3 linked regions of the Callithrix jacchus genome follow. The protein of the gene in region 2 purifies or fractionates together with the protein of the main gene of each other region. This does not show direct contact. Links are inferred from orthologs where the notes say so. Each region holds a gene or a part of one and is shown on either strand. Other genes may lie near its edges. The genes, in order: cyclic AMP-dependent transcription factor ATF-7, JUN and JDP2.

What was found.
Region 1: the proteins of JUN (region 2) and cyclic AMP-dependent transcription factor ATF-7 purify together in Homo sapiens (affinity purification with mass spectrometry; 3 studies listed by BioGRID and IntAct, with this or other methods). This does not show direct contact. The link is inferred for Callithrix jacchus from reciprocal best matches to the Homo sapiens genes JUN and ATF7.
Region 3: the proteins of JUN (region 2) and JDP2 purify together in Homo sapiens (co-immunoprecipitation; 3 studies listed by BioGRID and IntAct, with this or other methods). This does not show direct contact. The link is inferred for Callithrix jacchus from reciprocal best matches to the Homo sapiens genes JUN and JDP2.

What each region holds. Positions count from the first base shown.
Region 1 is NC_133510.1:65,924,849-65,928,592, reverse strand, and holds the start of cyclic AMP-dependent transcription factor ATF-7, read right to left. Parts: upstream 2,196-3,744; 5' UTR 2,092-2,195; intron 1,804-2,091; exon of another isoform or gene 1,757-1,803; intron 1-1,756. UniProt on the Homo sapiens protein: Stress-responsive chromatin regulator that plays a role in various biological processes including innate immunological memory, adipocyte differentiation or telomerase regulation.
Region 2 is NC_133508.1:95,863,853-95,867,596, forward strand, and holds the start of JUN (transcription factor Jun), read right to left. Parts: upstream 2,897-3,744; 5' UTR 1,926-2,896; coding exon 921-1,925; 3' UTR 1-920. UniProt on the Homo sapiens protein: Transcription factor that recognizes and binds to the AP-1 consensus motif 5'-TGA[GC]TCA-3'.
Region 3 is NC_133509.1:110,344,130-110,347,873, reverse strand, and holds the start of JDP2 (jun dimerization protein 2), read right to left. Parts: upstream 2,230-3,744; 5' UTR 2,020-2,229; intron 1,720-2,019; exon of another isoform or gene 1,674-1,719; intron 1-1,673. UniProt on the Homo sapiens protein: Component of the AP-1 transcription factor that represses transactivation mediated by the Jun family of proteins.

The sequences.
Region 1 (3,744 bases), on a different chromosome or scaffold from region 2:
TGCTCTTACTGTGAAATTCTAGAACCCAGCTCAGTAGTTAATGCTATAGGGTCAGCAATGAATTGGTCTCAATGTGCTATAGGGGTAACTTCTTGGCCAGGGAGAAAAGCTTCAAATGGTTGCAGAAAACCAAAGGTTAATACAACTACATACTGTGGTTTCTCTTCATATAATAGCTTTACTGGTATTTCAGACATTATTTCACTTCTCAAAAGTAAAAGGAGAAGAGAAGGAACGTAAAAGCAAAATCTATGCAATACTAAAGAGGCTATTAATTGGCTATATTTAGTCCAATTTATTATTAAATGATACACAACTATCAAACAAAGGGCAAAGCCCTGTCCCTTTTCTGTACAGAATTAAGAACTGGTAAGACTACTTAGTAGAGCTGCCAAACTTTTCTTTAGCTTCTTTTCTTACAGACATGTTAACATTTCGCAATAGCCTCCACTTACCTTACATCTTCCATGTTTAAGTACAAATTGTGTTTGATTTCCCCAGCCCTTGGCCTAAGATACTATGGCAGATCTTTAGTTTCTGAGTGTGGACACAAAGCAAAAAAACTGAACGTTTTTCACTTTCCTGAAATAACATGTCTATTTTATTTACACCATTTAAAAACATACTATATAAGCTAACTAAAACGAACTGCAACCACCCATTTGACAACTCTTTGAGAATGACCAGGGAAGCCACGATTAACAAAACAAACTTCATTTTGGTATATTTCTGCTTAGAATGCCCATAAAGACCGATATCTCTACAAGAATTAAATTACTGTACAATTTTTAAACACAGGACTCGTGTGAGCTTCCTAAGAAAACTCTGCACACCCCCTACACACCTGTACTTTAATATGACATGACCCTCAGAGATACTAAAATACCCTCTTTTAAGTAAAAAAAAAACTTTTAAAGTTAGGAAAGTAGCAACGCGGGAATCTGGGTAGGAGGTACCCTGGGTTGTAAACACCCCAGTCAGAGAACATAACAAGCAATTCAGAGCAACATATAAGTCCCTATGGGGCTCCAACTTGGACTGCTTAAGTTCCAAGCCCACATCCCAGTGTTTCAAGAGTTTGGGAAATGGAAGAGAGGGAGAAAGAAAATCAGAGAAGTGATGAAAGGGCTATTTTTCTCCTCAACCCCCATGCCAGCATCTTGGAGGCTGGTCACCAGTCTGGGTGCCATATCCATCAGAAGCCCTAAATCAATATCGCAACCACCTGATACCTAAGCAAAAGACATATGTATACCAGTCATCTCCTTCCCAAACACCTCTCTCATCGCTCTCAAGGCTCATATACTTCCAGAAACCATGCCTTATGGAGACTCAGCTCACCCATGCTGTCCTCTTAAACTCATTCACTTAACTTTCTCCAAATCCATACTTTCTCTCTGATATCACGTCCCTGATGTTCTTTTTATTAATTCAATCGAAATGCGATGACCCTCATTTCCAATAATCTACCCCTATCTATCTTTCCTGTCAAACCCAACGGGTGTTGTGTCACCAGACCAAGATCTTTGTTCTCATCTCCTCATTCCTACCTCCTACCTATTACCCTTTTCCAATTCCAAGCTCCTAATCCCACTCTTTGGGAAGCCCTGGGTTCTTAACCTAGTTTAGTATCCCTCCTCTTTCTACCATTCCACCCCATCCTGTGATCACTCCTTTAGGCTCCACTAGACTACCGTTCCCTCAGGATTCAATTCCCCTCTCCTTGCCACGCCCTGTGCCCCCCGGGGCTACTTACCCCAAGTTCTCCCCACACTTCAAGTCTCTGGCCCCGCCTTCCCCCTCCCCAAGGAAGGAGGCGGGAGTAGAGAGAGAGAAGAGGGCGGTGCTCGGCAAGGAAAAAGCGATCTCTCATTAGCGCTCATTGCCGCCAATCGAGGTTTCCTTCTCCCCCATTGGTCAGCTTTGGCCTATGCCCCACCCTCTTCCTCAGACAGGGCCCGGCCACCGCCTCAGCGCCCCCGTCCAACACACACTGGGAGGGGAGACCCCAGCCTGGAACGCTGGGACTGGCCAGAGTTGAAAGGGAGACTCCCGTCAGATCATGGACTAGCTAATGTTAAAAGTACTTACCGGCTGGTAGCTCCGTTGCCTCCCGCCTGCCCGCACTCTGTCCTACAATCTATCTCCAGCTCCTTCTTTCCCCCCTCGGCAGAGCGGATACTTTCCTCCCGTCCGGTCAGGCGCGCTTAACTCTCGCGAGAAATCATGCGGCCGGGGGGAAGGGCGAGATCCGTGGGGGCTTAGTTGGAAAGCGGCCGAGAGGCGGGGCTCCAGGAAAACAAGGGGCCGGGCTTATTGTGGGCAGGGCTAGGGAGGGAGACTGAGCGAGTGCTGTACACACAGGTCACACGTGTTCGCCTGCAGAGTAGAGCGGGGGAAAAAAAGGAAAAAGGAGAGGATCTTTACAGGTGCCTGTAGTAGTGGTTACTACCATCTTTCAGAGTCATCGCTTCCTTAAAGGCAAAGTGATTTAAAATACCCTTAGCCCTAGAAATGAAGTCCATGTATGGACAAAGCAATCCACCTGTAGAGCAATTATAACACTATCATTTTCCTAGCCCTATTGCCTTGGGTGAAAAGTTTCTCTGAGTCTCTGTACAATGGGACTAGCAATCGCATTTTATTTATTTATTTATTTTTTAATAATTTGAGACGGGCCAGGATGGTTGGCCAGGATGGTCTCGATCTCCTGACCTCGTGATCTGCCCGCCTCGGCCTCCCAAAGTGATGGGATTACAGGCGTGAGCCACCGCGACCGGCCTCATTTTATTCAAATAGTTGAAATGATCAAATGAGATACATGAAACTGCTTGGGTTTTTTTTTAAATCACTATATTATTCAGCAAATATTTTCACAAAACATAGGGCATACTACGTGCAAAGCATTGTTCTAAGCCTAGAGTTAAGGAGTTATCAACCCAGGTAGAATTTATATTTGAATGGGGAAGGGGAGACAGTTAAAAAGCCAATAAACACAAATGTTTTAAATAGTGAAAAGTGCTTCAGGATGGTGAGACAGAAAGTGACTCGGAGTGGGGAAGAAGCTTAATAGTGTTTGAGCGACCTCTTTGAGGAAGTAACACTTAAACGAGGAGTTGAATTATGACAAGATAGCCTTGGGAAGATTTTGGGGGAAATATCAAATGCAAAGTCTGTATTCAAAAATGTATATGTCTTGCTCAAGACAAACCAGGAAAAGAAAAAAAAAACAGGCTGAGTGCAGTGACTCATGCCTGTAATCCCAACAGTGGCAGGATGAGGCAAGAGGACTGCCTGAGCCCAGGAATTTGAGACCAGCCTGGGCAACATGGCGAAACATCAGCTCTACAAAAAATACAAAATTAGCCAGGCATGATGGCCTGTACTTGTAGTACCAGCTATTTTGGGGGCTAAGTGAGAGGAACGCTTGAGCCCAGGAGGTTGAGGTTGCAGTGAGCCCAGATCAGGCCACTGCACTCCAGCCTGGGCAACAGAGTGAGACCTGTCTCAATAAATAAATAAATAAATAAATTTCTTAAAATTTAACAAATTGTAGTTGACTTAAAATATTTTTTTAATTAAAAAAAAGTATATACTAACCAGCTTAGAAAAGAGACTTAAAATATTATCCACGAACTCTCTGTTCTCTCCTTTTGCAGCTTTATGTTACTAAACTTTCTGAACTTTCTGCCTAGCATCTTATCTATCTTCACATCACCCTCTGAGAGGTAGGAAGAATCTACA
Region 2 (3,744 bases):
AACCTGACCATAGCATCAGGTACATTTATTTCTAAAGTCTAATAGAGAACAGTTTTTACTGCTTGATAGTAAGAAGCACTGAGAGAGATTTTAATTGACATTCTTAACTTTCAACTCCACTTAGATAGCTAGTATCTATAGATGATGCAGAAAAGAGGTTAGGGGAGTACTTTTCAATAGTTTATTGCATTTTCTTAAATATCCTTTCTGGAATTTTCAGAAACAAAACATAAAAAAATTATATACTTTATTACAAATGGTAAACTCAGAGTGCTCCAAATCTCTTATTTACAAACAACACTGGGCAGGACACCCAAACAAACAAACAAGAAATAACTTACAAAGGCATGAAGCTGTTTATTGACAGTAATCAGCTTTCATCAAATTAAAAAAAATATATATGTACATACACAGTTAACGAAGGCAGGCCAGAAAGAGTTCATCTGCAGGCTCAGCCTCGCTCTCACAAACCTCCCTCCAGCCGCCCCTCCCCAACCCTCCCCCCCACGCTTTGTGTTCTTAAGGAGTACTACAGAAGCAATCTACAGTCTCTATTGCAGTTTGTAACCCCCTCCCCCTCCCCCCTTTAATACTGAATGAGATCGAATGTTAGGTCCATGCAGTTCTTGGTCAATGTTAACGAAAAGTCTAACGTTCCGTTCGCGCGGGGACAGCCCATCCGCAAAGCCGGGCAGCCCGCAGACGGCCGCTCCCTGGCTCCACGCCAAGGGAGTGCGCGCCAAGTCCTTCCCACTCGTGCACACTGGGGGCGCCGTCAGGACGCAACCCAGTCCAACTTGGATACCCTTGGCTTTAGTTCTCGGACACTTCTTTTTCCTCTCCGCTGCAACTTGTCAAGTTCTCAAGTCTGTCTCTGTTATTTTTTTCTCCGTTGCCCCTCAGTCCCCGACAGTCTCTCTTCAAAACGTTTGCAACTGCTGCGTTAGCATGAGTTGGCACCCACTGTTAACGTGGTTCATGACTTTCTGTTTAAGCTGTGCCACCTGTTCCCTGAGCATGTTGGCCGTGGACGCCAGCTCCGAGTTCTGAGCTTTCAAGGTTTTCACTTTTTCCTCCAGCCGGGCGATTCTCTCCAGCTTCCTTTTTCGGCACTTGGAGGCAGCGATGCGGTTCCTCATGCGCTTCCTCTCTGCCTTGATCCGCTCCTGGGACTCCATGTCGATGGGGGACAGGGGCGGCGTCTCGCCGGGCATCTCGGGCACTGTCTGAGGCTCCTCCTTCAGGGCCTGCAGTCGCGGGTGCTGCACCGGCATCTGCTGGGGCAAGTGGTGGGGCGGCTGCGGCGGCTGCTGCTGCTGCTGGGGTTGCGCGGGAAAGGCCAGGCCGGCCGCGCCGTAGGAGGGCGCCCCGCCGCCGCTGCTCAGCGCTCCGGGGTTGAAGTTGCTGAGGTTGGCGTAGACCGGCGGCTCGCTGTGCAGGCTGGCGCTGAAGCCGCCGCTGCCACTGCCCCCCGCCACCGAGGCCACCGCGGGAGCCACCATGCCCGCCCCGCTGACCGGCTGCGCCGCCGACGTGACGCTGGGATGTGTGTTCTGGCTGTGCAGCTCGGCCAGGGCGCGCACGAAACCCTCGGCGAAGCCCTCCTGCTCGTCTGTCACGTTCTTGGGGCACAAGAACTGGGTGGGGGTCGGCGTGGTGGTAATGTGCCCATTGCTGGACTGGATGATGAGGCGCTCCAGCTCGGGAGACGCCAGCTTGAGCAGCCCCACGTCGGGCGAGGTGAGGAGGTCCGAGTTCTTGGCGCGAAGGTGCGGCTTCAGGCTCCCCACTGGGTCGGCCAGGTTCAGGGTCATACTCTGTTTCAGGATCTTGGGGTTACTGTAGCCATAAGCTCCGCTCTCGGACTGGAGGAACGAGGCGTTGAGGGCATCGTCATAGAAGGTCGTTTCCATCTTTGCAGTCATAGAACAGTCCGTCACTTCACGTGAGGTTAGTTTGGGCTGCGCGCAGAAGTTTCGGGGCCGCAACAGCGCTCTGGCAAGCGGGGTACACCCGCGTCCCCCCGGGCCTTTGGCGGGGAAAGTTTCTCTAAGAGCGTGCGCGCCTGCTGGCAGTCGTCCCCGCTGCGCCCTACTCACCAACTCGCTCCTGGGAGCGCAGGGTTAATTAAGATGCCTCCCGCACTCTTACTTGTTGGCTCGCGCGCGCTGCCCGGCTTTGAAAAGTCGCGGTCACTCACTGAGCGATCTTCGGTCGCAGCGGTTCCTCGGAGCCCGCGGGCGAACTCACTTCCAGGAGCGGCGGTTCTCCCAGAGGCGCGGATCAGTGCGGACCCCGCAGTGGCCAGCCGGCGGCGGGTCTCGGCCGCCCGGACTCCGACGACTTGTCCCCTCCTCCGCTGCGAGGGGGAGGGGGCGCCCGGCAGCCGCGGCTTGCGCTCGCCCAAGTTCAGCAACCAGTGCGAGCGAAGCTGAGCGCACGTCCTTCTCTCGCGCGTCTCTCCAACGCCTTTTGGTCTTTACCGCCGTCGAGCAGCCTAAGGCGCAGGAAAGGCTTGCAAAAGTTCGCTCCGGGACTCTGGGCCACTTGGCCCGGGTCCTCCCAGCCGGGAAAGTTCTTTGCCGCTGCAGCCGCTCGCCGACGTCCCCCGGCGGGCGCGTGGGTACCGCTGCTCTCCGCCGCTGTCAGCAGCGCTTGGGCAGCGGGGTTCTTCTCCCGGGGGCGGCTGGAGACCAGGCTCTCCCCGCACTCCTCGAAACACCAGCCCCGGAGCCACAGGCGCTAGCTCTGGGCAGTTGGAGAGAAGATGGAAAAGAAAAGATTTGCAGCTCGGACTCTACTGCAGTCCTGGCTGTCTGGCTGTGTCTGTCTGTCTGCCTGAGACCGCGCACCTCCACTCCCGCCTTGCTGCTTCAGCCACACTCAGTGCAACTCTGAGCCCTTATCCAGCCCGAGCTCAACACTTATCTGCTACCAGTCAACCCCTAAAAATAGCCCATGATGTCACCCCAAGGCTTTCCCATTGGCTCGCGTCGCTCTCAGGGGGGCGGGCCCGCCCGTCGCCATGGAGACTCCACCCTAGAAGATTCTTCTCTAGGCCCGCGGAGGCTCACGGGATGAGGTAATGCTCCGTTGCCCTCCTACAGTCGGTCCCTTCTTTCTCCTCCCCTCCCCCTGCCGCACGCCTCTCGGCCCTCTCTTCCCTGGTCTCCTCCCCCGGCCGTTTTTGCTGGCCCGCCCGGTGCATTGTGGGCTGACGTCTTGGGGTTTGACTGTCTAGTGACGGTGGCTGCCGCGAGCGGGCGGACGCTCGCAACGTCTCTGGGGTGGGGGGGGGCGCTCAAGTTCACGGCTCCGGACAGGGATGCAGAGATGCAGGGGATAAGGGGACGCGGGAGGCCAGGGAACCCGGCCAGTTGTTGGGGGCCAAGGGTGCGGGCGAGGGGTGGTTGGGGTTTCTCCACTTGTGGGGCTCGAAGTCATCCGCCGGCGTCTGCCACCGCGCGGGGCAGGAGGCTGAGAATCCAAGTCTGTGGCCCCCCCCGCGCACTTCCGGGGGCGGGAGCACCGCCCTTAAGGTGGCTCTGTGAAGTCCCAGTTGGGGGCGAGCCTAAGGGCGCTTAAGTTTGGGGGCGGTCTCGCGAGAGTCGGCCCCCCAAGTTGAGAACGCTCGGAACTTTGTCTTGGTCTAGTTCAGGAGCGATGGTCCGCGGGGTCGTCTGGCTGCTCATAGAAGCCGAGAAATTTGTATTGCCCGAAACTGAACGCTCAGCTGAGTCTCCG
Region 3 (3,744 bases), on a different chromosome or scaffold from region 2:
TGCTCAAGTTGAGTTGGGGCTGAATGAATACAGAGCAGGCCGGCCTAGAGTCGGCGTTGGCCCCTTTCTTTCCAGAGTGGAGCTGGAAACAGACACTGGAGAGAGACAGCCCATTGCAACACCAGAGGCCCAGAGAGCCTATTTCTGCCAAGGATTCTGCAGGTTGGAAAAGATGCCCATACACCCTGCAAACAGGTAGGGAGAAGACAACAGACCCAGGGAGTCGTGAGGAGCATTCCCTAGTAGCTGCAGAAGTTAGGCAGTAGTTAGAAGTAGGTGAGTGGGGAGACCCTTATCCAAACACTTGGGGGGCACTGTCATCACTTTGCAACACATCTCCTTGGAGGTGGCTGCAGCCAACCTAGGAGAAAAGCCTGAGGGCTACACACCCAGGATTTCCTGCAGCCCTTCAAATCACACAGCACCCAGCTCTTCAGGAAGATTCTGGAGCTGCCTGCAGCTCTGAACCAAAGCCAAAGTAGTAGGGAACAGAAGAGTCTTTGAGAAATCCATCCTCCCTGCTCTCAACAAGGCAAAACCTTAACCACCCAGAGGCATGAGAATAGATTTTGTTTCTCTTCCTCGATCCTCAGGTTTATATAAAATCAGAGCCACACTCACACCTGATACCTGGTTAAACGCTCCCCTAGAAACCTGCAAAGGAAGATAAGCCATCCATCCAAGCTGCAGCCAGATTTGCTGGAGAGGTAAAAGCAATGGGAAGTGTTTTTTTAAAACCCTCAGGGAAGGGAGGTTGGGGGAAGGGAGATATGTGAATGCAGTTCCTAGCAAGGACTTAAAGGACAATTGGGCACAAAGGTACCCAAACATGGTTCAAACTTCCCAGTTCCTGATGCTCCTCAAATTAAGACCCTGGGGAGAGTTCACCAAAATTTAAGCCTGGATACACACACCTAAGCAGGCTGCAAGCCCTTTCTGAGATACAGGCCTGAGCACATTTGCCCTGAGCACATGTGGTCAGGCCATAGCCCCATGCCCTAGATGCCAATAGGGAGGGCAGCACCCTGGGCAAAGGCCAAGCAATCTTGCAACTGGAGATGACCTAAGGGGTCGGTTGATGTCTCCTTCCACCAGCCTCTCCATCCATGCAAAAGAGCCAGGACCTCCCATCTTCCCCAACCTCCCCATCTTCCCTGCTCCTCCCAGTGACCCAGGCAAAGCCTGGCTCTGCCACCCCAGGGTCCAGGGGTCCAGGAAGAAAGCCCACCCCCACACCTTCCCCCCAGCCTCCACTGTCCCCCTACCTCCCGACAACCTCCTTTGAGGGGAGGAGCAGAGGAGAGCCTTCTAAGCTGGGCTGGACAAGGGAGAGGCTGGTTACCTACAGGAGCCTGCTTGCCTCTTTATATAACCTGGCGTGGAAGACAGGAGAGCCCAAAGGGGACCCTAGTCACCCCTAGATCCCCTCCCAGCCCAGAGCCCCAGAGCAATGGCCATGGGAGAAGCTGCCTTCATTGCATGGAAATCCCAAGCCCTTCTCAATACCCGCCTCCGGGACCAGGTCCTCCGGGGGTCGCGCTTCCTCCCTGCCAGCAGGTCCTAGTCATCCCTCCACAATCGAACCCCCACCCCAACCCCGCACCTCCCTGGCCCTTCACCCTCCATCTCCACCCGCACGGCCCATCTCCGCGGGCAGTTTTCTCCCCACTCACCCCACCTTCCCCGCCGCCCGAGGAGAGCACCTCCTTGCAAACGGACGGGGGAGGAGAGCGCGGGAGGGAGAAGGAGGGAGCGCCCGGCTGCCCAGGGAGCGGACAGAGCCTCCCGTCCTGGGGCGGGAACCAAAAGGAAGCCTCCGGCTACCCGGAGCCTCGTGGGAGGGGCCCGGCTGCAGCGCCCCGCGCGGAGAAAGCTCGGGGTCCTAGGGCTGCGGGACCCTCCCGGCGGGGCTGGGCTGGGGCTCCTCCTCGCACTCCGCCCGCGCGGGGGCGGCTGTCCCAGGTGCCCGCGCCCCGCCCCGCCCCGCCCGGAGCCCCCAGCGCGCGCCCTCGCACCCACCGTGCAGAAGCTGCCGGCGGAGGCGGCGCCCCCGGGGCCGGGGCCCGGCTGCAGGCGCCGTGCCCGCTCCGCGCCGCTGCCGCCCGGCCGCGGAGCTCCGCCCGGTGCCCAGGCCCGTCCCGGCCCGGGAGCCGCCGCGGCGCCAGCCCTGCCGCCAGCGCCCCCCGTCGCGGCCGCCGAGCGTCCCTCCCGCAGGCTGTGGCGGGCGGCGGGACGGGTTGCATCAGCCCCGGCTATATAGCGGCCCCTGGGCGGCGGGGAGGGGTCGGGAATGCGGAACCGGCCGAGCTGCCAGCTCCAGACGTCAGAGGGGGACGGAGAGGAAGGGAAGGAGGGGACCGGGGGGGAGGGGGTGTGGAGCCGGCGCTTCACACCCACTGACCTTAACCTCCCCTGCCGCCTCGGGCGCCCTCCTCCCGCGGCCGCTCGCGCTCCTCTCCCCGCGGGGGCGGCCCGGGTTCCATCCAGTCCCCCGGCTCCGCCACCCCACGGTGCAGGAGCGCGCGAGAAAGCAGGACGCGGCGAGCGGTTATGTAAGCGCACCCCCAGCGCACCGCCGCCCGACTTGCGCCCGCCAGGCAGCAGCCGCAGCCCTGGGAGAGAGAAGCGACGCCGGGGCCGGGGGACAAGTCAGAAGCCCCTTCACGCACAGCCTTTGTGGACCCGGTTCCTCAGTGCCGGCGCTTCCCCTCAGAGACAGGGAGAATTTCGGCATAATTTCATCTTTGGACACTTCAGGACTGAGCGGGCGAGGAGGCGATCTCGTCAACCTGCTTTATGTTTCGGTGGAGAAGGATGGGCTGAGATGAAGGCATTTGGGGACCCCTACTCCTACCCACCGGCCCCCGCCAGCGCCCTTAGGCCCCCAGGCGGCTCGCTGCACCAGCCTGCCCTCGGCTAGGGCTGCAGCCTGAGACCGCGGCTTGCTCTGCGGCTGGCACAGTTAGACCCGTGGCACAGTTGGACCCTTCTGCCCTACTCCAGAGGGCTTCTCCTATGCCCTCTGGACACAGCAGTGAGCAGACTCAGCCCTCGATAGACCCCAGGTGACCTTCTTCCCCGTTACAACCTCCATAGCCAACCCCACTCCCACCTTCCATCCTCCTAGAGAGGAAATGGTGAAGGAGACTCCAGAGGAAAAGTGACATCCATGGTGCCTTCCAGTATACAAAGGCAGCGACACAGAGCCCTCAGGTAGAACAGGTTCCCTAGGCATCTCCTACCTCCAGAGCTCCTGGGTACCCATCGAGCCCCCTACCTTCTGCCTAAGCCGGATGGGATTGACGATTTTTATACTCAGCGACTTTCGGCCTCCTCAGAGTGATGTCAGATCATCACCCATAGAAGAAAGGAAGTGAAAGAAAAAGTTCATGCCTTCTTGGAGTGCAGATGCTCAGAGTGAAGGAAACAAGACTGGAGACAGATGGGTGCAAATGAGCAAACTCAAGCATGCATGTCTCTTCCGTGTGAGTGAGTGCCTGAGATCTTATTCTCCTTATTTCCCCAGTGCACTGAAATCTTTCTGGATAAAAGAACTGGGCTAATGGAATGAGAGAGACAGACCGAGTTCCAATGACATTGCCTGACCATTTTCACCTTCGCCACCAGCAATCTCCCTGGCAACACTGGTGTGGGCAGGTAAGAAGAAAGCAAGGCCCTGAGAGAATATTCATTGGAAAATGAGCAGTAATTTGATAGTCTGTGAAAGAACATCATTCTCCACCC